Linked DNA regions of Tamandua tetradactyla. The protein of the gene in region 1 purifies or fractionates together with the protein of each later gene. This does not show direct contact. Links are inferred from orthologs where the notes say so. Each region holds a gene or a part of one and is shown on either strand. Other genes may lie near its edges. The genes, in order: NPM1, RPS20, RPLP1 and TOP2A.

Region 1 (7,567 bases):
CCCTTTTCCCCATCTTCTTGATTTAAACCTCATTATACTACTTCAACACAGTATGATTTAAGTGCTCTTACCGTTGGCTGTACGGACATTTTCAAAGTTGCCAGTGTTACTTTAATTGGACTGCCTTCATAATTCATTGCCTCTGCTTCAACAATGTGCAATTCATCCTTTGCACCAGCCCCTAAACTGACCTGTGAACAAAAAATAGTCCCTCATCCTCAAGCTTCCGCTATTTTACAATCTGCCCCCAAATGTGTAAAGTTTTTAAAAAACTATAAACCTTTCATTATCACCATTGATGGAAAACTAATCTTCAATTTATGCACAATTTAAGTGTTACAGTTTTCGTGTGCACAAGTTCTCATATTCAGCGAATTTGAAGAAATGCATAAACATGGCATGGATAGCTTAACAAATACAGTAGAGCACCTACTACAAATTGAATGCTAGGTTGGTCTCAGTGAGGAATAAATGATTATAACTGACAAGAGGGCTTTATAACACAACTGATGAAGCAAAGTATATAAATAAGGAAAGCTAAAAAGTGATGTGACTATATGAAGAGTGGTAAAGATGCCCAGTACTGTCTGTATCACAGGTGTATATATTATCCAGTACTTATAACAACTAATCATAAAGATGCTGTTATCAGCAGTCAGGAAAACAGTGAAAGTCATAAGCCAGATAAACAGGATCCAAAAGGGTGAAATCAAGAAAGGTTAAGTAGTTTATTTTGAAATTTTAAGTACCGTTCTTAAAGATAACTGGTGCTCATTTTCATCATTATCCACCTTAAAGTGATAATCTTTGTCAGCCTTTAATTCACAACCTGTAATGAAGAAAAAAGTAACCAACATGAGCGAAAACTGAAACTGAAATTACCTTTACCATTTTGATAACTTGCAAACTTGTTTTTCACTTTACTATTCTAGCTTCCAGAGAGCAAGACAAAATGATCTCTTCTCAGATTTTTTGAATACAGAATTCTATAAACGTCAAATAAAATCCATACAGGGCTTTATAAATTCTACTTTTCCATTTCCCCAACTCATTCTCCACTACATGAGACAGGCACTATAACCATTCTGCTGCTAGAACTCAGCTCAAAGATTTACTTAACCATTATGAGGCCAAACTTAATGTACAAAGTTGATAATCTCCCACTATTTTAAAGTTATATTATCTGTCTAAACTGCCCCCCAAAAGCAGCAAATTAGAAATGGGGGAGAAGCCTACTCAAACACCAACAAACAAACCTTGTTACAAGGGCCTTCCGATTACCTTTAAGTTAACAGAAGGTGTTGTACATTAGTAATTCAGTAATCACTTCTAAAGCACAAGATATACTCCAGTGGTGTTTCCAATAAAAGGAACAAATATTTTTATATAAACTGGTTAGCAACTTAGAAGTAATGCCTTAACGTGCTGAATGTCTAAAATGCTAGATACATTTCATATAGGAATGGGAAAATTGTTTTAATACTGTCATAACAGAGTTAATTCAAATAATTCTATTTAATAAGCACTGTAACAGTTAACCGGATGTGCATGCTTGAATATTATTGCCCAATAAATAAGTCTTAGAACAGCAAATAAAGAAATCAAATTTGGGGCGATATTTGCACTTACTCCAAGGTTAAAAACCCTGGATATGGCCTGACTGCCCACAAGGAAAAGCTTTCAGTTAATAAGCCTCCTGAGACTGAAAACCAAAGCAGGCCTCTCCTTCAGTACTTACATATGGTGGGAGGCAAAAGCGGGCTGAGTAGGGTTATCCCTTGCCAGAGGGCTGCCTCCGCCATCCCCAACCCACCAAAGACAAAAGAAAACAAAAAAAGCCTCGTTACCCTATTTACACAGCACCGACAGAGCAACAAAGTCTCGGATAGGCTCTAGCATCCATTTCCTACAAGTAAATTCTTAAGCCACTTAACTTCTGAACATCAGTATCGTCATCTGCAAAATGGGGCTAAGACCATTAACGCAGTGACACAGAAAAAAGCCCTATAGAAGATTACTACCACTACTGTATGTGCAAAGAACTGCACAAAGATCTCCAGAACCCTAGCGCTACCAATCACTTCACCTAACGTTTCCCGCCCAACAACTCCAATTAAGCCACAACAAGATCCCTGGCTCCGGGTTGACATACACTAGGAGGCCCCGGATGTATAGCCCGCGCCTCCTCCTTCCCCCAACCACGTGGCAACCACGTGCTGCCAGCGGTTGCGGCCTCCTCTCATCCCGCTGTGCCTCCCCTCCCCCTTACAACCGGCCAAGAGACCAAGACCGAGAGTCAGTAATACAGCCCTGGACGCTGAGATCCGGAAACCTGGCGAAGCCTCTAACTCCAGCCTATAGCTATTCTCTTCTGCAGAAAAATAGGCTCAGGCCTCCCCAAGAGCCCACACGACCTTCTGGACCAATACCTGGGGATCCAGCAGCAAACATACTGGCCTAGAATCAAAGACATACCAACTCCCACGTGTCTCGACAAAGAAAAAGCCGGAGCTCTACCGCATACCAAGGCAAAGCCAAACCTTCACCCGGTTCTACCTCGCCCTCACGCACTAGGCCTCAGGCCCCAGGCTTCAGGCCGCTCCCATTCCCCCACTTCCTGCCGCAGGCTTTCCCAAGCTCCGGCATCGGCCTTCCTCGCTCCCCATCCCTCAGGTTCCTGGGCTCCCACTGCGCCCCTCCCTCCCTCGGGCCTCCAGCACGCTTAGCTTCCTCCACCAGCCCAAGCCTCAGTAAGATCTCCATTACCCATTCTCCCCACCCCCACCTCAAAGCCACCAGGCCCTGCTCGACCTCGCTCCAAACCTCCAGCAGTTACCGAAAAGATAGTTCTGGGGCCTCAGGGGGCTCATGTCCATGTCCATCGAATCTTCCATGGGGTGGTGGCAAGCACTTAAACAGGTGAGAAGACGGACGGAGATAGACAACCACTGTTGCAAAGAACAGTCGCGCAGGACGGACTCACACCAGGGAAAGGACGCGCGCTCCCCCGCGCATTTATATAGATCCCTGTATATCTCGCGAGATCCTCCAAGTCCCGCCTCCGCGCGCGTGCTTGGGAGCCCCCTCCTTTTGCAGTCGACCTCCCGCGCAAGCGCTCTTTATCCCATCTTCTTTTTACCTCACCCCTACCTCCTCCAGGTACTTCGCGGGCTTCCACCGAGCACGCGCACTCTTACCCTGGCCCCACCCTTCCGTCGCCCTCTTCTGTGCGCACGCGTTTCCCTTGCCGGGCGCCTCCACCTCCAACCCGTCCACGTCCGCTCCGCTAGTCGCACGGGTCGCACGCCCAGATCCTACGCAGCCCACCCTGCAAAATGGCGACGGCAGCCCCCAGAGCTCTTTTAGGTAGGAGGTTGATCCTGTTTGTAAGTGTTCAGAGAGCCGCTCGGTTTTCCTTTCTTCGTCCCCTCGTGCCCCGGAGGTCTCCAAACAGGCACGCTCCAGGATTTTTTACTTGCCTGAAGGCCTGAGTTCGGAGTTCATTGTTTCCCCAAAGTTAGAAAAGCTAAAGCTGCCAGAGACAGAGTGAACTACAACTTTTCTGTTGCATTGCGCTGGGAAGAAAAGAATTAGCTACTAGCCGAACTTAACTCACTTACGTCTTTATAGTTGTCCTTTCGCTTCTGGGGCCAAATGGGACTGTCATCCCTCTCCACCGCGCAGGGCAAGGGACCATACGTGCCTGATTTTTTTCAAAGAAGCTTTTTAAAGGACTGTGTATGCACAGTATGTCCATACAAGGCCTTGTGAAGTATATGTGACTGTCCCCATTATGCACACCAGAATACGGGCCGAGAGGTATGAAATAACTTGCCAAACGGAGAAAGTGAGACAGGGAACTAATTGATTCTCTAGCTCCAGGGCAACCCAATGAATGCTACATCATTCTTAAAAAGCTTTTGAGGATCCACCCTGAGATAATGCAGTTCTTAATCTTCAGCATGCCTCTAGAGCGAAGGCGTATGACTTATACGACTGCGTAAACTTTAATTAGAATCTTTGAGAATGAGCTTGAAAATAAGCATCTTACACAACACCTTGACAAGTTAGGGTCCCCTAGTTTAATTTTTACCTCACCAGATCAAACAATAAATTTAGGAAATACTGTGGGAACTGAAAATAGTGATATTGATGCCCCCACTCCCTTTTCTACAAATATAATCTAGTTAGGAAGGTCAGCTATAATATAAATAAACCAATTATTAATGAACAGAATCCAGATCCTAAATTTAGAGAATCCTTATGCAAAAAGACAAATCAGATAAGACCAATATGTGGAAGGGGCCAAGTTGTTCCCCACTTTACCCCCAATCCTAACAAGAGTCTTTGTTCTTGGATCTTTTGAGATGCAGAATATGGCCTAATTGCTAGAGAAAATACTGAAACTTGAAAGAATATGTATGTAAAGGACTAGGAAAGGTAGAGAAACAGGAGGATCAGATTGAGGAGAGTTCATTTAGAATGAAAAAGTGAAGATGAGCTATAAGAGAGTGAAGGAGGAGGTGTTACTGTTTTTTGATCCACTCGAATAAAGGTTGAAATTACTTTGCAATTTCTTTCTGATTTCAGGGTCATTATCATTTTAATGCAAACTTGTACAGAGCCTGAACCAGGTAGGAGCTGTGGCTCATGAAAATAAATACATTTGTTGTTTCTAATGTTTTAGGCATCTAGTCTGGATATGATCTCATGGAGTTAAGCAGTTAGAAAACCCACTTACTGCATTTTTCAGATTTACAAATGTAATAATGCTCATTGTCTTTTAAAATAGAGTGGTATAGGCCTGTACAAAGTGAAAAATTACAAGTGGCTCTCTTTCCATCTTAGAATAACCACTGTTAATTGTGTGAGTATCCTTCCAGCTAACTTTATATGTTTTAGAGAGGGAGAGAAAGAAGGAGGGGGCAGACTATATAGTTACATTTTGTTTGTTTCTTTCTGAAATTCTGGGTAATTCACATCTTATTCAACTTTCTATAGTCAAAAATATATTTTGGACATTTATCCACATTAGTTCATAATATGGCTGTGTTATAATTTAACTGTCCATTCCTCCACTGAGGGGCATTGAGTTTGTCTCCATAATTTTGCTCTAAAAAATAATGTCTTAGTAAAAATCTTTATGTATATATCATTATGGATATCTAAAAATACTTGTGTAGAATATATGCTAAAAAAGAACTTACGGTAGAAAGGCAGGTATTACTTATGAACATATGTACATATAAATACATCTTTTTATTGTTGACATGAATAGATTCACACTTCATGTATTTGTATATTGTTCTGCAACTTTGTCCCTTCACTTCGTGTGGCTTAGCTATCTTTCCATTATATAATAGAGTCCAACTGTATTATTTTTTTATGAGTTTCATAGTATTCCATAGGATGAACATACGTCCTATTTTTAAAATTCCAGGTTTTATTTATTCCTTCATTTTTAACACATTTATGATGGAAATATTCAAATACATAAAAACAGAAATAATGCTATGGTAAAAATCCATTTACCCATCATCTAACTTCAACATACAGAATCTTGTTTCACATATACCTTCTCCTTCCCCTTCCACCTCCATCGGCCTCTTTAAAGAAAGTCCAAGACATTTATCAGTTCATCTAGAAATATCTCAGTACCTTTCTTTGAGAGATAAGAACAATCTTTAAAATCTGAACATAATACCATTGTGATTCAAATAAAAATTTTAACTAATTCCTAACATTATGAATTACCTAGTTTAAATGTCCACAATTGTCTTTTCCAGTTTGTTTGAATAAGGATCCAAGCAAGATCTATACATTATACTGAGATGTTTCCTTTAACATGTCCCGTTATCCCTGAATTTTCTGAAAGTTAGTAGGTAGATCTTGAGCTGCACTGTCTGATGCTGTAGCCACTAATTACATGTGGCTATTTAAATTTAACATAATTCACATCCTACCTCCTCACTGTCCTCATTCTCCTCGTAGAATGGCTATTATTATTTTTTAAATGGAAAATAATAAGTGCTGTCGAGGAGACAGAAAAATAGAAACCCTTGTACATGGTTGGTTAGAATGTAAGATGGTGCAGCCAGTGTAGGAAACAGTTTTGCAGTTCCTCAAAAAAAACAGAGCTACTATATGACCCAGCAATCCCACTTCTAGTTATATACCCCAAAGAATTGAAAGCAAGAACTCAGATAAACGTTCACCAATGGTTATAGCAGAGTTATTCAGAATAGCCAGGAGGTAGGAGCAACCCATGTGTCCATTCCCAGATGGATGGATAAACAAAATGGGGTATACATAAACAATGGAATATTACTCAGCCTTAGAAAGGAATGAAGTTCTGATAAAATAACACTACATGTATGAACCTTAAAAACATCATGTTTAGTGGAGTAAGTCAGACACGGAGGAATAGATATTTTAAGATTCTACTTATGTGAAATAGCTGGAGTATGAATAGAGATAGAAAGTAGAGTACCTGTGAGAGGAAGAGTGGGGAGTTACTGCGTATGGGTGCAGGGTTTCTGTTTGGAGTGATGAGAGAATTCTGGTAATAGATGATGGTGAGGGTAGCACAACGTTGTTTATGTGATTAATTCCACTGAATGATATACTTGGAAGTTGTTGGGATAGGAAAGTTTATGTACGTTTGTTTCCATAATTTTAAATAAAGGGCAACTAAAGAGATGATGACGATTAAATGCAATACATAAGCCAGGACTGGATTTAATAGTGGAGGAGAAAAGTCCCAAAAAAACAGTACGAGGACCTATTAAAAAAAAAAGTTGGAATTGGAATATAAACTGTAATTTTATATCAGTGTTAAAGTTCTTGAACTTGATAACTGTACTTAAGGTGGTTACATGTGAATGTCCTTGTTCTTAGGAAATGCGCGTGGAAGTCTTATGTGTTCAAGGAGCATGGTGTATGCAAATTACTCTCACGTGTTTGGAAAATTTGGTAGCTGGATAGACAGACTGCTACAGCAGGTGTGGCAAATGTTAAAATTGGAGGTCTGGGTATCAGTGGGGGTGGAGTGTTGGAGTTCTCTATATGGATTTTGTAAAACTCTTGCAAGTTTAAATTATTTCAAAATAAGTTTAAGGGGAAAAAAATTCAATTCCTCAGTCTCGCTAGCCAAGTATTCAATAGCCACATGTGGATCATGACTATGGTATTGGATAGCACACCAAAACATTTCCATCATCACAGAAAGTTCTACTAGGCGGTGCTGATCTAGAGGCTTCTAGACTTATTGGCAAGAATACTTCCTGTTGCATTAGGAGACACGTATTGTCTGGTGTGTCTCTGTTTTGTAATGTTAAGTTCAATCAGGTGGTGTTGACCTGATTCTTCCTTTATCAACTCACCATTCACCACTCATCTTTCAGTTAAGAGTTTTAGTGGATTGTTGCTTCAATCCATTATTTCTAATTCTGTCACTCCCTCTGCATTTATTATCTGAAATTCTTTTATGAAGGTTGTCAACTAATTGGTTACCCTGAAAACAGTAGGCAGGAAAATCGTTGTCTTTCCCCTTACCTTTTTTCAGAAT
Region 2 (6,012 bases), on another chromosome or scaffold:
GGAAGCACCGGCACACATTTGTCGAGTGTTACCTCACATTTCAAACGAAAATTTGAAAAACCCCGAAGGGGAACAATGGTTCTCAGGCTGCCAAACCTGTTTAAATCACAACTACGCTAAAGAACAGGCTTTGGGCCAGGTTAACCTACACCATCGTATCCAATAAATTCATTAAGGTAAACTGTGGTCTTAGGACATGTTTTTTCAGTGATAAAGCTAACAATCTCTTTTTGAGGTGGAAGAGACCTGTGTATATGAAGCAGCATTTCCAAGGATCATACACAAAATACTTGAAGAACCAATGCATTATGATAAGGCCTTACATACTAAATAATTTTCTGCTGTCTCATATAATTTGATCAAAAGTTATTAATAAAATGGTTTAATGGCCTTTAGGAAATACAATAAACATAGTAACGCGCCACAGGATGGCTACTTCTTGAAAAGTTGACTACATTTCACAGCCCATCTGTATATTCCTAAATCTGTTGGTATTTTGAATAAAACTCAACAAGCTTAGCAACTGACAAACAGTTTATTAAAAATAGCTGACTTAAGCATCTGCAATGGTGACTTCAACTTCTACTCCTGGTTCAATACTGATAGAAGTAATCTGCTTAACAATCTCAGAAGGACTGTGCAAATCAATGAGTCGCTTGTGGATTCTCATCTGGAAACGGTCCCAAGTCTTTGAACCTTCACCACAAGGAGTTTTCCTTGTAGTGATTCTTAGAGTCTGTAAACAAGAAAAACAGCATTTGTGGTTACATATCTATACACAGGATATCTGTATAATTACTGCATTAAAATCCTCAGGTATGGGCGGGCCGCGGTGGCTCAGCGGGCAAGAGTGCTTGCCTGCCATGCCGGAGGACCCCGGTTCGATTCCCGGCCCCAGCCCATGTAAAAAAACAAACAAACAAAAATATATAATAAAAAATAAGAAAATGTTTAAGATGTTTCCCTTTCTTCCTCCCTTCCATCCTTCCTTCCTTCTCTGTCTTTCCTTCCCTTCCTCCCTCTCTAAAAAAAAAAAAAAAAAAAAAAAAAAAAAAAAAAAATCCTCAGGTATTTCATTTGAGAAAATTCCCTAGGTACCACATTCTTCTATGTAAACAGGTCTTCAGGTACCATCAATTTGTAATAGTAAGTCCATTTTCACTCCTCTAGGACATAACTCTCTACACCTTTTAAACACCACACCACTATAAAAAAACAGCAAGTCATCTCTAAACATTATGTACTTAATACGAACCAAATTACCAGCATTCTTTACTTGGCTTGTGTTTTGGGGAGCCAAATATTAAAGAGAAGAATTTGGACATAGGCAATAGAAGTCAACTCCTACTTCCTGCCCCCATGCTGTAGTTTACCTTGGTAGGCATCCGAACAGGTCCCTTCACCTTGAGGTTTTTTTCCTTTGCACCTCTTATCAAGTCAGCACACACTATGGGGATATAAAAAGTTACCTGTAAGTCCATTCGGCACAATTAAAATATATTGAAACAATTTTGAGGATGCTGGCTCAGAATAGCGTACATAACTATCACCATAATTCAAAACGTAGATTTCTCCTCACGGCCAACTTTAAATGTAACAAAGTTATGGCATTATATAAAACACAGGCCGACAAATAGCTTGAACTACTGTAAGCACTTGCGGCTGTACCTCTCGGAATCAACCTCACACAGCAAACTGACAGACGCACTGCTCTCAGCTTGCAAAAGCCTCAGCCTGAACCACCGCACTAACCCTTCTCCAGAGACTTCACGTTGCGGCTGGTCAGGGTGATTCTAATGCGATGAATCGCCACCTCGGGTTCCACAGGTGTCTTTCCGGTGTCCTTAAAAGCCTGTCAATTACATGGGTGATAAGAAAATATTAAGCACTCCCGAGATTTCTAAATTCTAGAAATAGGCTTCACGAGCCTTCCCAGCCAGGTTCCTCTACCACCGCGACAAACCCCTTTGCGGAAGCCCCTCCATCAACCTCCCATAGCATCTGCCCCAGAGTAGATGAGTAGTCCCAGCACTCACCATGGCTGCGGCGCGGCTTCCTGACCGACTTGTTCCTCCGCGAGAGCGAACAGCGGTGAGTCAGGAGGAGCAGAGAGCCGAAACGCCTGGAACGCACAGACCGCGCTTTCTTCGAAAAGGATGCGCGAGGCCTGCGCGATGCTTATATAGCGGCGCACGCGTCTGCATCCGGGTCCCACATGCCTCTCCGGCGCCTGCCCCGGAACAGGAACTGCCCCGAGGGCTCTAGAGGCCGCCCCGCGGAGTTGGCGGGAAAGGTGCGGCCGCGCGCGCCCCCTGTCTTACAGGCGGAGTCGGTGCCTCGAGGCGAGGGACAAGCAGAACGCATGTGCTGGTCTGCGCAGTCTCAGTGGTGCGAGCCGCTCGGGCGCCTAGCGGAGGTGACAGGCTGGAGGGCAACCTGCCCTGACGCCGCAGAAACAGCTCTGGCTGGTGCTCCCCTACCCCAGCCCCTTAAAGTTGAGAAGCTCCCTGTGGGTTTTGCAGTGCAAATTTTGCTTCGCATACAGAATCACTGTTATCTGAGCAAGTGGGTAACTACTGCATTGAATTCACGTGGGTATTGGGAAAATCGACCGATAACTTGGCATGTTACTATTAAGATTAGTCGGGGATATTTGCATAGCCTGAAATAACTTATCGTGGAATTTCAGCTTCTGGCTTTCCACGCCGGTAGAAGTATCTACACCTATTCCCGGGCAGGTGAGAGTGCACCTGTCAGGCTGCTCCGACAGCGGGCTGTATATCTGGAGGTCCAGCCCGCAGATCCAGGCTGTCCGCCTGATTCTAATGGTATTTCCTCTCTGTTCGGATAAAGTAATATTATTTAGGAGCCTTTAAAATCTGCTTAACATTGAGCGTGTGTTTATAATCAAATAGGGACAGATACAGTGGAAAAGCCAACAATGGTCAACCTAGCTCCTAATGAGCACACTTATATTTGAGAAACAGGGGTGGTTCAAGAGAACGGGATCGGCGAGATGGGATTTGGTCCAGAGCTAATGGGAGAATAAATAACCCCATATTATTTTACAGGTAAGCACAGAAGAGTTCTGTGATTCAAACATAAAGAGCTGCGGTGTGACAAAGCTCTGACGCCCCTCTCCCTCTCCCTCTTCCGGAAGTTCTGTTCCTTTGAGAGATTATGCTTGAAATTTCAAACAAGGAATAGCATTGGCTTACTTATGAAGAGATAATTAGGCATGACTAATAGCTTTATCTCACAAGGAAAATACATTCGGTTTTGCTGCCATTTTGCAATAAATTTAAATGTTAATGATGGGATATTTTTCAGTTCAGTTATCTTGAAATGTAACCCATGGACTGTATACTCTATTAGAAGAATATGCAGCGGAAAATAGAAACCTGCATTCTTGTTTTACTTGCTGAAACTAAGATGAGACATAATAACTTAGTTTTAATTTATTGGTGTGGCTATCTGCAACCAAAAGGTAAAAATACATTTGCCTAGCTCCCTAAATGTGGTCAGCCACCAAGGAACTTATGTTAGTACTGAAGGTGAATGGACAACTGCAGAGAAAGCATAAAGCAACTTTCTGGTTTTATTTAAGCCTCAAAGGACAATCAGAAATTCAGAGAAGTGTGTGTGTTGGGGGACGGGAGACAGGATTGGAAGTACATTTGTGATTTTTTTTTTTTCCAATAACAAATCTAGTAGATCTAGGTCTGTTCTTTGGCCTGCCTCACTCTTTAAATCCTTGAGGAAATGGTAATCATGTTATCGTCCTATGGCCATAGAAAAAAGGTAAAATATGATCCAGCATGTGTGGTAAAAGAAATTGCTGATGTGGTTGGAATTAAGGAAATAGCTGGTTAAGATAATATTAGACAAACTTAATGAAAAGGTCATTAATTTTAAAGTTTACAAATTTTAGTTTAAAATATTTTGTTGTATTTTCTCTTGGAAGCTAGGAGCTGCTGTGACTCGAAAATGTCCATTTAAAATGTATTATTCTGATTTTGGATTTGAGATGTTCATTGGAGAAAAAGGTTTTGCTTAACAATAAGCAAAAAGGAAGAAAATACTCAATTCCACCCATCCAGAGATAACCACTGTTTACACTTTCAGGTATGTATAAATCTCTTTAAAAATCAAAAAAGGCTTATACTCTGTACGGTATGGTAACCTGCTTTATTCTCAGAATATTATTTGGTCACAATAAATACACATTTGCAACATCCCTTTTAATGACTGCCTAATTGTGACATGTATAGCTGTTTCATTCATTTATTGGACCAGTCCTGTAATTTTAGACACTGAGGTTTGTTTGCCCATTTTTCTTTTCTATAAATTATACCATGAGGTTGTATAAGGTACATCAGGTTTTTCACTTGCAACACTATTGCTGTTTTTGAGCAGATAATTCTTGCTGTGGGGGCCGTCCTGTACGTTTTAGGATGCTTAGCAGCATTCCTGGCTTCTGCTCACTACATGTCAGAAGCATCCTACCTACCCTGCTCCCAAGTTATACAAACAAAAGTATTTCCAGATCTTGCCAAATGTCTGGGGAGAAATCACCCCACCCCAGCTGAGAACCACGATTGTAGGTGAACCTTTTGGCACATCCTTAATGCCTTAGCTCATTCTAGATGTTCTTCTTTTCAGATGCTTTAATCAAAGAACAGGCATGTATTAAATATTTTGGTATGTTCAATTAAGTTGCCCTCTGGGAAGGTTGTACCAAAATAGGGACTTCCTCCAGCAGCATAAAACAAGTTTTAGCTTGAAAAAAAATAGAACTACCTATCTGTTTCATTTCAGAATTTTAAAATATCGTGACAGTTACAAAATTTGTGTTTTCAACATCCCTGTCCATTGCCTTTCTCTACTAAGTTTTGTAGTTTTTAAAATGATCTTTTACTGTCATTGCAGCTGAAAGTATTTGTGTGAATCTGTGGACAGCCATCTACTGGTTTTTTGCTGCAATAACAGTGTCATCCAACTAATACCAGAAGTAAACATGCAGCATTAGAGACTACTTAATTCATAGTACAAATATATATATATATATTTATGAATAAAACAGTAAAGGTAAATTGTCAAATGAATGTGGCAGAGAAGTTTAGATAACATTCTATTTGCAAAATTTTTTATCTAAATAAAGTATTCTTTTTAATGTTAAATCTCTTTAGCCTGGAATTTAAGAATGTAACCAGAGCGAGTTAAAACTTTCTCTTCTAGTTACTCTTCTATGTTATATTTGATAAGGGAGTGGAATATGAAGGAAATTACTTCCTGTTTCCGAGGATTACATGTATAAGTTTTTAGAACAGAACAGGTCTCTTCATAAAGTAATGGCTGATACAGTGTGAAGTGCTCCACTTGTATTAATATCAATTCTTTTGATCTGCACGTTAACCTTGGGAGATAAGGACCATTATTCATATTTTATTTCTGAGGAAGCTGAGGCCCTGAAAGGTTAGGTAACTGGCCCATGGTCACAGGAAAAGCCAGGATTTGAGTGCTCACAATCTAACGTCTGCACTCCTAACCAAGTGCTAACCTCTCTTTCAGTATATGTGGCACTGAGCCTTGTCATTTGTAGTGGCACTGTAGGAGCAGATGTAAAATCATTTTGTTATACACCCTGACATAGGAAAGCTTTACATATTTCAATTTAGTTGAAATCAGAAATATTTTGTTATTGACTATGTGTCCATTATAAAGTAGATACTATATATATCCATTATAAGGTAGAATCCCTATTTTTAAAAAATGTTTATTTTGAAATAATTTCAAATGTACAAGACAGTTGCAATAATAGCATAAAACCCATACAGAGAATTCCAACATATGCCGTCTCCCTAGATACTCAGATCCATCACCTTTTAACATTCTGCCTGATCATTCTTTCTATTATCTATCTATCTATCTATCATCTATCTATCTATCTATCATCTATCTATCTATCACCTACCTCTCTCTATCCATCCATCTATCTGTCCATCCATCCAT
Region 3 (7,078 bases), on another chromosome or scaffold:
ACAGCCCAGAAGTTCTTAGGGCTGTACGTGGAAATTATTCATGGTGCTTTCTAAATGTACTGTCTTTACCCCACCATCAAGGAATACCAAGGATGTCCAGGCAGCGACTATAGATTACAGGAATGGCTGGTTTCTCCTGTATTCTTCCTGGAGTGATGGTGGGATGGGGAGCAGCTTTATAATTAGCAATAAGGTACATTAAATAAAAGAGAACACTGTTTAGGCACAGACCAGGGAATAAATTCTGTAATCACAAATTTACAGTTAGTTTGGGTAAGGCAGCACTGATCCATCCTCCCCCACCCCTAGAGTAGTCCTCAAGGTTATTATTAGGCACATTAAGTGTCCAGGTTATTTAAGACTTCCTACCTGGAGTGGTGGAAGGGAAAAAATCCACCTCATGTGCCAGGGCATTAGAATAGAAAAGGTTGAAATACACTTGCAAAAAAAGTTAAGACTGACCACCTATGTAGACCAAATCCCCAAACTACTGGCAAGACCAACAGCAGCAAAGGGTTCAACATTTTATTGAACATTACAAAAGGGACTTAGTCAAAAAGACCAAAACCCATGTCATCATCAGATTCCTCAGATTCTTCTTTCTTTGCTTCCACTTTCTTCTCCTCAGCTAAAAAAAAAAAAGTGAGAAGTGTAAAAATCACATCTCTCATTATTTTGGCCAAAAATAACCACTAGAATTCCCTCAGCACCACCCAACCATGCCTCAGGTTTAGCGTTTCATACACCGTCCACCTATAGAACTTTAATTTCCTTCCATACAAAAACTTAAGTTTCCTACCTGGAGCAGCAGCGGTGGAGGGAGCAGGACCTCCGGCTGGCGCAGCACCTGCTGCTGGTGCAGGTCCACCAGCCCCAACATTGCAAATGAGACTCCCGATGTTGACATTGGCCAGGGCCTGCAACACATGTGCAGACACAGGTAAATGCTCAGTTGTTCCTCTCAGCCAGCCCTGATATGTTCAGTTCCCAACACTTTTCCTCTGTTGGAGTCACCCCCATGCCAGTGACATCAAACTTTTGGTTTGCTTTTTCATCAAGACTGACTTCACTGGCAATAACTTAGGACTCATTAGATAGGACAGTCTATAATAATATATTTTAAATAATGGGAAAGAGTGGGGGTGTGGGTTAGAAAGTTGAGGACTGCCGCAATTAAGAGTTTTATCTCTTAAAAATAAAAAGTAAAAAAGTAGTCACAAAACTATCCAGATTCAGAGCTCACATTTATGTTGTTGATTTAAGTAGTAATGTCCAACTAATTGAATACCCTCTATAAATGAGGAAACTGGTCCTCCCAAAAACTTGATGGTAGTTTCAGAATCCACCTTTTCTGATTTCTTAAAAATTGGTTTTTGTTTTCGACATCAACACTAAATTTGATCCCACACTTTCCAAAAAATCTAGGATTTTTTTCCAAAGGAATTCATTAATAACATAGATAATATTTTCAAATTTTCGAAGCCCTTCAGAAGCTACAACCTAACATGTTAAAGCTATTAATAGCTTCATTTGCCACATATTAAGTAACCGGTACGATGGCTGGTAGCCAATGCCAAAATTTCGTTGGCAGGGGCCCTGACTTCATTTTCACATCCCCAAGATACAGCAAGTGGTCAACATAAAATCATCGGACTCAATTTCCATTAGATCAGGCTTATATTGAAGCCACACAAAGCCTAACAAACTGAAGCCTTAACATCATCCAAACATAAATGCAGTGAAATACGAGGCACCTTAAGTGTGAACACTCCCCCGGATAAGCTAGCAGACACGTCTTCCCAAGTCTGCCACAAATCACCTTACCTTTGCAAATAAGCCAGGCCAAAAAGGCTCAACGTTTACACCAGCGGCTTTAATGAGGGCATTGATCTTATCCTCCTAAAACAAATAAAATGCCAATCCATCAAAGAGGAAAAGTGTAGCTTACCTGAATGTCTCCAAAATACTGCAAATTAAAAGCAAGTCACTCAAAACGTGCGTACAAAGCCATTTACCCAGTTAAATATCTTTATCTGCATTTCATGAAGGCATACTCAATCATAAAATAAGGTACGGACTGGGATGCTCACGCTCTAAGGATACATTTATCAAGGTTTTCACAGCCAAAGACAACCGCAGGCGCAACCCTCCGGCCGTCGACACGTGGTCTGCAGTCCACAGCTCCCAGCTTCTGGGCCCACCCGAGGGGCTTCCGCCCCGGTCCGAAAACGCCTGGGCTGTCCACCACTGCGGCTGTGGCCGGAAGAGCCAGGCCCGACCCGCTGGAGGACTCGAGGGCGGCGAGCGGGTTGGGCAGTGGACAGGCCGCACACGCCGCTGACCTGCGCCCGCACTCACCGTGACTGTAACTTCATCGTCGTGGAGTATGAGTGCCGAGTAGATGCACGCGAGCTCGGAGACAGAGGCCATGATGCGGACGGGTGCTGGGTAGACGGCTGCCGGGCGCGGTGCTAGTCGCCGGATGAAGTGAGGGCCTCACCCCAACGCGGCCTTAGCTTCCTCGGAAGAACCGAGCACCTTGACGGCAGCTGAGGAAAGAGAGCCCCGCGCCTGCGCACAGCATCTTATACGTAACACGCGGGCCAATCGGCGCCGGCGTCTGGCGGAAGAGGCGAGGCAAGTGCCGCGGCGGAAGACGGGCTTACGGCGCCTGCGCGCTACTATTAACACTTCGTTGCGATTTCCGAAAGTTGCTAAGCGCATAGGAAAGCTGTGTCCGTTGATTTTGGTGGAGGAGAAAAAAAAAACAGCTCTTGAACATTAAAAATATTTTTAGGAGAAGGTTACCTAGGTAAATGGATTTCACCTCCATTGTATGTATACCTTATGACACTAAATAATATTTACGCCTCCAGCCTCCGGTAGCAGGCGGTGACCTCTCAGAGGGCAGGAACTACAGTTACAATTTAGGGCCCCCATGCTTAGCGCAGTGCCTCCAATATAAGTAAATAGAGGAGAAACTGAGCGTTGTCCTGGCAGTAGCAGTTGAGCGCCTACAATGTCCCAGGCAAGTGAACCATACTGTTGAAGGAGTCGTGTGGTTTCTATTTCTTCCGTTTTGCGAAGGCACGGTCCAGGTAACCAGCCCAAGATCAGTTACTGCGCTATGGAGGTTGGGTTTAGAATCTAGAAGCCTAATTTCAGTGTGTTGGTGAGGACTGGCTGGGTTTTGAGAATTGTAGATAAATTTTGTCTTCTCTGTTTTGGTATTTCAAATATTCGACAACTGGCATGCATTATTTACTATATGATCCGAAACCTAATTTTTTAAACATTTTTATTAGTATAGTATAACATATATACAAAGCAAAGAAATGAAAAAGCAATAGTTTTCAAAGCACTCTTCAACAAGTAGTTACAGGACAGATTCCAGAGTTTGTCATGGGCTATCATACGATTTTTCCACTCAGATTTTTCCTTCTAGCTGCTCCAGAATATATAGGAGGCTAGAAGGCTTAAATATTTTATCATCACAATTGACTTTAATTCATTTTTGTATGTGAAAAATAACATACATACAAAACAATAAATTTCAAAGCACAGCACCACAATTAGTTGTAGAATATGTTTCAGAGTTTGACATGGGTTATGTTACAATTCCACAATTTTAGGTTTTTACTTCTAGCTGTCTGAGATACTGGAGACTAAAAGAGATATCAGTTTAATGATTCAGCATTCATATTCATTTGTTAAATGCTATCTTCCCTGTATAACTCCACCATCCCCGATCTTTCTGTCCCTCTCTTTCAGGGTGCTTGAGCTATGGCTAGTCTAGCTTTTTCATATTGGAAAGGTCTGCCACTAATATGAGGTAGGGAGATGGAACTATCTGATGTTCTGGAGAGGCTGGGCCCTCTATGTTTCAGGACATATCTGGACTGGGACCTATCTAGAGGTTGTAAGTTTCTTGAAAGTTTCTCTAGTGCATGGAACCCTTGTGAAATCTTATATATAGCCCTAGGTGTTCTTTAGAATCTGTTGGAATGGTCCTGGTTGGGGGTTGGCAGGTTATGATAGGTAGCAAAGTCTAACTGAAGCTTGCATAAGAGCAACCTCCAGAGTAGTCTCTGAACTCTATTTGAACTCTCTTTGCCACTGATGCTTTATTACACTTGTTTTCCCCCTTTTGGTCAGGATGGAATTGTTGATCCCAAGGAGCCAGGGCCAGATTCATCCCTGGGAGTCATCTCCCACATTGCCAGGGAGACTTTCACCCTTGGATGTCATGTCCTATGTAGGAGGGAGGGCAGTGATTTCACAAGCAGAGTTGGGCTTAGAGAGAGTGAGGCCACATCTGAGCAACAAAAGAGGTCCTCCAGAAGTAATTCTTAGGCATGCCTATAGGTAGTCTAAGCTTCTCTGCTACCTACATAAGATTCACGAGTAAGCTTATGGATTAAGTATCCTAAGTAAGATATAGGATTGAGGGCATGGCCTATTGATTTGGGTGTCCCTAAAGTTTGACACAGTATCAAGAGATTCTCTGATGGTAAGGTCTGAAACCCAATTTTAACTCCTATCTTCAAAAATGGTAATCTTCACATTTCATAGACTAGTTTCCTCTTGGAATTTACCTAGTTTCATGGAAAAATGGGTCAAATTTTTTAGGGAATCTGCTTTATTCAATTAGTGCTATTATCTCATAATCATCCATGACCAAAATTTTCATCGGAATCCCCTACCTTGGCCTCCCACTTGGGCCAATCTTAGACATAAATGTAAACAGATTTTAATATCGCTTATTTAAAATAGTTTTAAAAGCTATAAGGCTTTTCAAAATAAGCTATCATTTTGAGTTTTCACCCAAATCTAGGAAGGAATTATTGTGGTGTTTTGGTGGAGAAAGGTAAAGCTATTGAAAAGTCCAGTCATTTACAAAGCCAGAACAAATCAGTCCAAAACATTATTCCCCCACCATTATACTTAAAAACTGATCAAGCAGATAAAACTGTTCAACACAGATTTTTTTAAAATTGTCTAAACTATATGAAGAAAATTTTTAGATCAAATTAATATTTTGTTCCCTTAATTTTATAGCCATAGTAACAAAAGAACCTTAAACAATGAGAAAGATAAAAATTATACCTAAATGCAAAATGTAGACAAAAACGTTGAAAATAAAATATTAATAAACTGAATCCAGAAATGTATATAAAAATATATATTACAACTAAACAGGATAGTTCATCTATAAAACTACTAAAAATTGTTCATTACATTACCAGATTTAAAGAGGAAAATCTATATGAAAGTCTTAATAGATTCAGAAAGACCAAACCCCTGATAAAATTTGAACCACTGTTCAAATACTCTTAGAAAACTGGCATAGAAGTCACCCTCCATATCCTGATAAAGGCTATCTACCAAAAATCAACAGCAAATATCATACCTAATAATGAAATTTGAGAAGCATTCTCTTAAAATGAGTAGCAGACAAGAATGTCTCCTTTCTCTGCTTCTATTCAATTCCTATTTTAGAGATGTTAGCTACTCCACAAAGAAATTAAAATTGGAAAGGTATGAACTCACATTATTTATAGATATGATTATCTATCCAGAAATTCCAACAGAACTTATAAACAATTCAAAGTAATAAGTAATTTGCCAAGGTTGCTGATATTAAGCTACAAAAATCAGCATTCCTTTCCTCAGCAACAGTGTATTAGAAAATGCAATATTTTCTCAAAAATATACCTCATACAATAGAAACAAAAACTACATGGTTTCTAGGAATAAATCTAACAATATGTACATGACTTATGTTTTTAATTATAAAACTTTATGGAATAATATAAAAGGCAACCGAATTACAAACCGATATGCCATGTTCACAGATGGGAAGATTCAATATCTTGAAAGCAGGCAATTCTATCTAAATTATGTAATTTCCACAAAAATTTCATTAGAATTTTTAATGGAATTTGACAACCTGACTTTAAAAGTAATAACAGATTTTAGATTCCATGAGGGCACCAACTTTAGTTTGCCACTGTATTCCTTGTGCCTAATAGTTCCTGGCACATAGAAAGCACCCAAAAAATACATAATGCAGTGTAGTGTTATCATGCAAATAGAAAAATAGAACAGAGAACCTAAAAATATACTCTGATACATTTGTGAACATGGTTATATAATCCAGAGGAAGGGATGCTCTTTTCAATAAGAATAGTACTGGGTGAGGGTAGGGGATGGCAGTGCAAGGGTTGCTCAATGGTAGAATTCTCTCCTGCCATGCCGGAGACCCGGGTTCAATTCCTGACCCATGCACTTCCCAAACAAATAAACAAAGAAAAAAGCAAATAAAAATTCAGCAAATGGTGCTGCAATAAGGGGATACTCACATGGGAAAAAAATGAAATGTGATCCCTGTCATATAGCATACAAAAGAAAAAAAAATGGCACTGGGTTCCTATCCAAATGGGGGCTGGTGAGAAAAATGTCTTTAATTCCTCCCTCACAGCACACATAATGTGAAAGCAAAACAAATTTTAGAAGAAATAGAGGAGAATATTAAGACATTAGGGTATGGAAAAATTTCTTCATACACAAACATAAAAGTTGCATCAAAATTTAAAAGTGTAAAACAAAAGATACCAAAACCAAAGTCTCAGAAATTGTCCCAGCCAAGAGGAGCCGAAGGAGAAATTACATTTAGCCTAAGACTAAATGTAATTTGGTATATTGGAACAGAAAAAGTCATTAAACAAGAAGTAAGGAAATCTGAATATAAAGTATGGACTTAATTTAATAAGAATGCATTAATATTGGTTCATTAACTGGAAAAATTAAACATACTAATACTAATAGAAGATGTAATGGGGAAATTAGGTATAGGGCATGGGAAATCTGTACTGTCATCATAATTTTACTGTAAATTCTGATGGATTCTAAAAAGTTTATTTAAAAAGAAAATACTATAAAAAGTGAAAAGACCTCACAAATTGGGAGAAAATTTAGGACCCAAAATACCCAAAGGATTATATAAAGAAGTCCTACAAAACAATATGCAAAAAACTAACTAGTTACATAGCAAAGATATAAGAGACAGGTCAAAGGA
Region 4 (6,877 bases), on another chromosome or scaffold:
ATCCTTGCAGATACTTTTTTGGCCATTAGAATATGTTCTTTAGAGAAATATCTATTCAAATCCTTGGTCGTTTTTTTTAGTTCTTTAGTTGTAGGAGCTCTTTATATCTACCTATTCTTCTTCTTCTTTTTTTTTTTTTAATATGGAACGCTTCACGAATTTGCGTGTCATCCTTGAGCAGGGGCCATGCTAATCTTCTCTGTATCATTCCAATTTTAGTATATGTGCTGCCGAAGCGAGCACTCTACCTATTATTCTTCATCTCACTTTTTAAAAACTTAACAATAAATATATGGTGATATTTGAGTATCAGTACATCTGGATCTACTTCATTCTTTTTAATAACTGCATATCATTCCATAATTTGAACATTTCACTATTTAATCATTCCCCCATTGATAGGCACTTAGATTGCTGCCAGTTCTTTTCTATTAAAAACAATATTGAAATAACCTTGTGTATATATCTTTGCACAGTTATGGGAATGCATCAGTAGAGTAAATTCCGAGGAGTCAAATTGTCCTATCAAGGGTGTGTACATTTTAAATTTTTTGATAGATACAGCACTGCCGGACCAGAGGGAAACCTCCCAGTAGATTTTCTGGGACTGAACTCTAGTCCTGTGCTACTCCTCTCTCACAGTTTTGAATATCTTTTGCTCTCTTCCCAACTCCATCTGGTGGCCCACAATGTCCCCTTGCCTGGAGCCACAAATTTGAGGGGCAAGACTCACAGCTGCCATCAGCAGGTAAAAGATACTGAGTTCTATGGGACATTTCAGACTTTTCTCACCTCCTTCAACCAAAGACTGTTATCCCGAGTAAAGAGGTCAGACCGGAACCTGCCAGTCATCAACCTCAAGGTAAACAAAGCTTGTTGACCCAGCCTTAGCCACCCAAGTACCCTGGAGCTGGCCCAGCCTCATCCAGGAATTCCCAGTGGGCTCCAGCCTAGCCAAATCCATCTACCAAATCCAGAGCCACACTTTCAGTCCAGCCCCTCTGCTTTGTCAGCCAGCAAGTAGGAAGCACACTGCCCTTTCTGGGAGAGCAACTGGACCAAAGAAGGAGACACAACCCCTGCCTTCAAGGCATCCACTCTCCCAGCCACTGAAAGGGGAGACAGGAAACACCCACCACCCAGTTGAATAGTTGTAGGAGTATTACAACTCCTTGTTGTTATTTGTAGGTTGTTATTCTTAACAACCTAAGAATACTTACAAAGGGAATGCATCCGCATATGCAAATGTACTCCTAAAGACTTGAAGAAGTCTTGATAAAATAGAGAAAACTCCCTGGAGGGGAGATATTTTGAACTAGTTTTGGAGGAAGGGACACCTGGGACTGACAGGAGAGAGATGGTCTTTTGAGGTGATAACTGCTGACATATTTCGAGCTCTTACTGTCTGTCAGGCAATGCACTAAGCATTTTACATGTGTTATCTCACTCTATGAGGAGGTACTCTCATTATCCTCATTTTAGATGAAGAAATGAAGACACGGAGAATGGCTGAATGTCATACATTCATCAAGTACTGTAGTCAGGAGACCGACTCAAGTACTCCACCACACCCATAGGGCTAGAGGAGAAATGGGGGCTATGTCAGGGTAGCTAGTTTGGGTCCCAGCAGAGTATGGGGGAGGATATGAGGATGGTGCCTGTCCCCTCCCCTACCATCGCCTCCTAGAACTAACTCCCACCTAGAGCTGACTCCCACCGCCTTCTTGCTTTCTAGGGCCAAAAGGAAACCCCCTTTTTATGGGCAAGGCCTCCCAAGGCCTATACATCCCAGACTCCCATCTACTCTTTCAAGAGCTTCCTTGTAGGTTCTGGGAAAGGGGAGGGGCTGGCAGAGAAACAAATTTGGCCAGAAGAGAAGGGAAAGGGATGGAGAAGAGAGCAGCTCTGACCAGACTACACAATGCTTAAAAGCAGGAGGAGATTTGTCCTCGCTGTTTGCATTTCACTTGGCCCTCTGTACCATTGACGAAGGATAATAATATGGGGAAACTGAGGCCAAGGGAGAATTCTGACTCAGGTGTGTGTGACTCCAAAACCCTTTTTTATATTATCGTGGTAAAATATATATAAAATAAAATTTCCCATTGTGGCCATTTTTAAGTGTAACATTCAGTGTCATTAATTATATTCACAATGTTGTGCTACCATCATCAGTATGTTTCCAAAATTTTTATTACCCAAAACAGAAACACTGTATCCATTAAGCAATAATTCCAATTGCCCTTCCCCTGCCCCGAGTACTAGTAACCTCTAGTCAACTTTTTGTCCCTATGAATTTGCTTATTCTAGATATTTCACATAAATGGAACCATACAATATTGTCCTTTTGTGTCTGACATTTCAATTTGTATAACGTTTTCAGGGTCCATCATGCTCTTGCATGAATCAGAACTTCATTCCTTTTTATGGTTGAATAATATAATACTAGGACTCGGCAGAAGCCACTGTAGGGACTTCTCTCAATGGAAAAGCCAAAGGAATTTCATTCTTGCTTCATCCTACTTCCACCCTTGTTTCCTGACATATTATACATATTCCCCTCCTCACCAGTCTTCCCTTGGGCTTTGCCAGCAGTGGGCACAGGGCATGCTGGAGTTATTTCACAACCTCTGGTTTCCTATAGAAGAAAAGGGGAATTAAATCCACAAATTGCATTACCCGTCTAAGGAAAATTCCTGCTTTCTGATTCTGATATCCTTAGCCTCCTATTCTAAATGCCTCCGCTCATCTCATATAACCAATCTTCACAGAACTGAGGGAATACCATTATTATCGACAATTTTTAGTAGAGGAAACTGAAGCACCACAAAACTTGGCAAATTAAGGAGCCAGGACTGAAACCCATGCAGAATATAGGAGTAGTGATTGGGAAGGGGGTGTTTCAGAGAGAATTAGCAATCAAATTATGTTACTTTTTTCTATCATCTCCTTTTTCTTTTGTCTTCTTAACATTGTGGATTGACAAGTATAAATCCACTCGAACATTTATACCTCAGAGTAATAAACTAAAAAGATTGTCAATTTGGCGTTTCCTCACCAAACGTGAACAGTTATTCTGGATTGCAGAATTCAGAATTTAACACTGAAGAGAGCAAAAGGAACAAGTATTCAGGCATCCCCGGGCAGTCTGAGTGAAAAGATTTGAACATATCTCGCTGCAAAACTGGCAAAACCTTGAAGCGGCAACTATAAACTATTCCTTTTATCAGTTGCAGTCCATAGCTGCTGAATGTTATACTGTTTTGTATGACCTCTCTACATCCTACTATACGAAAACTAAAAACTACAGCTATATCACAAATCGTTTCTTTGGAAATAAATTCTTCGGGAAGGCAAGTTAGATAGGCGCCGGACCCTCTTCGCTTAGCCAACTCTCTAAGGCTGTGTCCTGAAAGCTGGCGCTCAGTTTCCTCAGGAAGGTGGAGCTGAAACTCCTATTCCTTTCACTAACTACCTCAGGAGGTTTTCAGATTGCAGAGACTAGAAATAGGTTAGTGGTTCCAGAGAAATAAATATCCTCTCTACCCTCTTCACTTTCTCCTGGCAGCTTGCACCTCAGGTTTTAACCCCTTGCCGCTTCCACAGGAACTCTCTTCAGTGTTTTCCTCACAGAAAGAACGACCCCAACTCACTGGCCACATCCCCCGTCTGTCTCCCCGCTTCTACGCCTAGTGGTGCCTTTCGAAAACGCTTTAGACCCGCCTCCTTTGCCTAATTGGTTCATTCGAACAGGCTCTGGCCAACTCGGCCGTTTATAGGTGGTTTAGATGTGGACAGAGGTGATTGGTTCTTCTGGACGGCGTCGGAGAAAGCGAGTCAGGGATTGGCTTATCTGGCTTAGGCGGGCTAGAGGAGGTTCAAAGGGGAGTAGGCGAGCGCGCGTAACCGACGGCTTCTGAAGAGAAGTGGCCTGGTCTCCGGTCGTTTCGCGGCTGACGCCCGTTTAGTCACGTTCAGGGTCCTCGAGCCCCTTCACGACTGTCACCATGGAGGTGTCACCATTGCAGGTACGGCTCGCGGAAGGGCCCGGGTCGTGGAGCCTCAGCGTATCGGGGCATCCCCCCGGCTGCCGGTGAGGGGTGAGGGCTCCTGGGCGCCCGCGCCGCTTCGGAACTCCTCCACGGGCTGAGGGCCCGTATTCCCTGGACTCTGGGTGATCGTGAATGAGGTGAAACCCCTTCTTGGTGCTAACATTGAAGTATTATCGGCTAGACTGCAGTCAGGGTGTTGGTTTTGTTTTACTGTCTCTAGGGGCGGGATTCAGTTCGTTCTGTGGTAAATCTGCGTTACGTGGGCTGTGTGTGGCTTTAGTAGCACATGCTTTCCCCTCCTCCCCTCTGGGAAGAGTGCGGTTGAATGTCGCTGATCTCGGAAAGTGCAGCGCCTGGCTCAGCGTTCCCGCTGGAGTTGCTGGCAGACCCGAGTTGCTCAAAAAATGACCTTCCTGTGCTCAAAACGTGAACGCGGCCAGATGATTCAGTTGATGTCATCTCTCACACTCTGCTGCTGCAGAGCTAGAATCTGTTTATGTGCTTGGAATATAGTAGGCACTTGGTAAATAATTGTGGACTAGATGGACAAAGTGGTGTTTTTATCGATACCATCTAGAGCCGTGATCAAGGAAAATGTTTTCATGTCAGATACACTTGGTGAGATAATATGTCTATTTAAAAATGACACTTGAGTGCTAAGCTGCAGTTTACCTTGTCATCTTTGTACAAAACTATGTACATTTCACCAATACCTACCAAAAGACTGCAATTTGTTATTGTGTTGTTTAAGCATATCATTATGGCAGACATTAGTTTCTGATACATCTATGATTTAAAAGCCCTTTTCTTTAAAAAAAAATGCTTTTCTTCTGTTTTTTTTTGCTAGCCTGTAAATGAAAATATGCAAATCAGCAAAATTAAAAAAAATGAAGATGCTAAGAAAAGACTGTCTGTTGAAAGAATCTATCAAAAGAAAACACAACTGGAACATATTTTGCTCCGCCCAGACACTTACATTGGCTCTGTGGAATTAGTGACCCAGGTAAAACATGCTAATTAAGTGCAATTACTTATCCGTTAAAATATGTACTTTTCCTCTTATGTTCCAGCATCGCTGGAACTGGCCTAAGTGATTACATATGTACTATAGTATTTAATCCAGAATACTTTATAGTAATCGTGATGATAAACAAGAATATAAAGTAAAAGTAACTATACTTCTTTGCCTTATTTCTAGCAAATGTGGGTTTTCGATGAAGATGTTGGCATTAACTTTAGGGAGGTCACTTTTGTTCCTGGTTTGTACAAAATCTTTGATGAGATTCTAGGTGAGTAAATTCTTTTCATATGAAGATCTACAGGTCAAACCCTTCATAAGAAGTATCATTCCTTACCAGATCCTCTGTAGCCAGAGGTTCTATCATTTCAAACAACAGTTGGTGACGGTGGGGTAGTCTCTGGAGTCCAGGAAACTGAGTTCTTTCCTAGAAGCAGTGCTTTGAACAAAAATTTTCTAAATGAAAAACCTTGTTAATGCTATTGCTGTGCTGTCTGGGAAATTTTTTTCCTAAATCTTTGAATTAATGTTCTAAAAAGTACTTCAATTTCTTACAAATATGTTGTTGTTTTTTTCAGTCAATGCTGCGGACAACAAGCAAAGGGATCCCAAGATGTCTTGTATTAGAGTCACAATTGACCCGTATGTCTTTTGCTTAGCCTTTTGTTCGTAATATCTTGTTGTTGTCGTTATTCTTAGCTACATTTACTTTGATATTAGTGAAGTTGACCTTTTTTTTTTTTTACGGAAGTTTACAAAACCTACAGAAACGCAAACCACTAAAATGAACAACCCTTATGGTACCTACTACATAGATCAAACGGTTACTGACATTTTGTCATATTTTTTCCATCTATAAATATTGTTTAATGAATTCAAAATAAATTTACTAACATTATGACACTTAAGCCCTAAATAACTTCAGCAAGCATCTCCAATCAAGAATTAGCCTAAAATATTTTGGCGTCTGGAATTTTTAGCATTTTCACATAATGCTATTCAAATAGTAAGCCAGCAGGTGGTGGTAGAGAATAATATAAGACTTTTTTTACGGTATTGTTAAATACTATTTCGAATTAGAACCATAATGTATGCCCAGTTATAGCTAAAATGTCTGAGAATTAACCTAAAATGATAACTAAGAGATAAGTTCAAATAAACTTGCAGCATTTTGTTCGTCAGCTGGACAGTTTATAATTGAGCATGTTTTTGCCTTTTGTATTTGCTTTGTGACAAACTTTTTTTTCCATTTGTGGGTGGGAAAGCTAAGAGAACTAGGGGAGTGCACATGATCCTCTCAAAAGCAGTAAAATGATAGTTTCCAGATTTTGTCTTTTTCTTTCCATTTGACATAAATCATTTCCCTCTGTTTATGCTAACATTTGAAAATTTCCTATTTTTCCAACATTATCAGTGTCTGCCCAGATGTTGGAAAATGTTGTTTTGTTATTGCTGTTATTATTATTGTTTTATCTTCCTCTTGGCATTATAGACACTCCTATTTCAGCATTGTGGGAAAGATAGTTCATGCAGAATTTCAGAAGGCATATATAAAAAAAGAGTCGAAAGAAATTTAGACTTGTGAATTTATATATTTTAGAAATAATATCAATATTTAAATATTTAAAATGTTACACATTAGTTTAACCTTTATTTTACAATAGAATTTTCAATCTTCTCTCCTTAGGGAAAACAACTTAATTAGTATATGGAATAACGGAAAAGGTATTCCTGTTGTTGAACACAAAGTCGAAAAGGTGTACGTCCCAGCTCTCATCTTTGGACAGCTCCTGACTTCTAGTAACTA

What was found.
Region 2: the proteins of NPM1 (region 1) and RPS20 purify together in Homo sapiens (affinity purification with mass spectrometry; 3 studies listed by BioGRID and IntAct, with this or other methods). This does not show direct contact. The link is inferred for Tamandua tetradactyla from reciprocal best matches to the Homo sapiens genes NPM1 and RPS20.
Region 3: the proteins of NPM1 (region 1) and RPLP1 purify together in Homo sapiens (affinity purification with mass spectrometry; 3 studies listed by BioGRID and IntAct, with this or other methods). This does not show direct contact. The link is inferred for Tamandua tetradactyla from reciprocal best matches to the Homo sapiens genes NPM1 and RPLP1.
Region 4: the proteins of NPM1 (region 1) and TOP2A purify together in Homo sapiens (co-immunoprecipitation; 3 studies listed by BioGRID and IntAct, with this or other methods). This does not show direct contact. The link is inferred for Tamandua tetradactyla from reciprocal best matches to the Homo sapiens genes NPM1 and TOP2A.

Annotation. Positions count from the first base shown.
Region 1 is NC_135346.1:52,611,377-52,618,943, reverse strand, and holds the start of NPM1 (nucleophosmin), read right to left. Parts: upstream 3,017-7,567; 5' UTR 2,895-3,016; coding exon 2,837-2,894; intron 830-2,836; coding exon 750-829; intron 192-749; coding exon 72-191; intron 1-71. UniProt on the Homo sapiens protein: Involved in diverse cellular processes such as ribosome biogenesis, centrosome duplication, protein chaperoning, histone assembly, cell proliferation, and regulation of tumor suppressors p53/TP53 and ARF.
Region 2 is NC_135332.1:99,698,367-99,704,378, forward strand, and holds RPS20 (small ribosomal subunit protein uS10), read right to left. Parts: upstream 2,180-6,012; 5' UTR 2,040-2,179; coding exon 2,037-2,039; intron 1,853-2,036; coding exon 1,753-1,852; intron 1,585-1,752; exon of another isoform or gene 1,519-1,584; intron 1,448-1,518; coding exon 1,374-1,447; intron 737-1,373; coding exon 554-736; 3' UTR 517-553; downstream 1-516. UniProt on the Homo sapiens protein: Component of the small ribosomal subunit. The ribosome is a large ribonucleoprotein complex responsible for the synthesis of proteins in the cell.
Region 3 is NC_135338.1:73,086,509-73,093,586, forward strand, and holds RPLP1 (large ribosomal subunit protein P1), read right to left. Parts: upstream 2,580-7,078; 5' UTR 2,431-2,579; coding exon 2,359-2,430; intron 1,900-2,358; coding exon 1,825-1,899; intron 918-1,824; coding exon 800-917; intron 629-799; coding exon 549-628; 3' UTR 512-548; downstream 1-511. UniProt on the Homo sapiens protein: Plays an important role in the elongation step of protein synthesis.
Region 4 is NC_135332.1:26,942,002-26,948,878, forward strand, and holds the start of TOP2A (DNA topoisomerase 2-alpha), read left to right. Parts: upstream 1-3,863; 5' UTR 3,864-4,007; coding exon 4,008-4,028; intron 4,029-4,047; exon of another isoform or gene 4,048-4,189; intron 4,190-4,899; coding exon 4,900-5,055; intron 5,056-5,250; coding exon 5,251-5,341; intron 5,342-5,648; coding exon 5,649-5,712; intron 5,713-6,757; coding exon 6,758-6,877. UniProt on the Homo sapiens protein: Key decatenating enzyme that alters DNA topology by binding to two double-stranded DNA molecules, generating a double-stranded break in one of the strands, passing the intact strand through the broken strand, and religating the broken strand.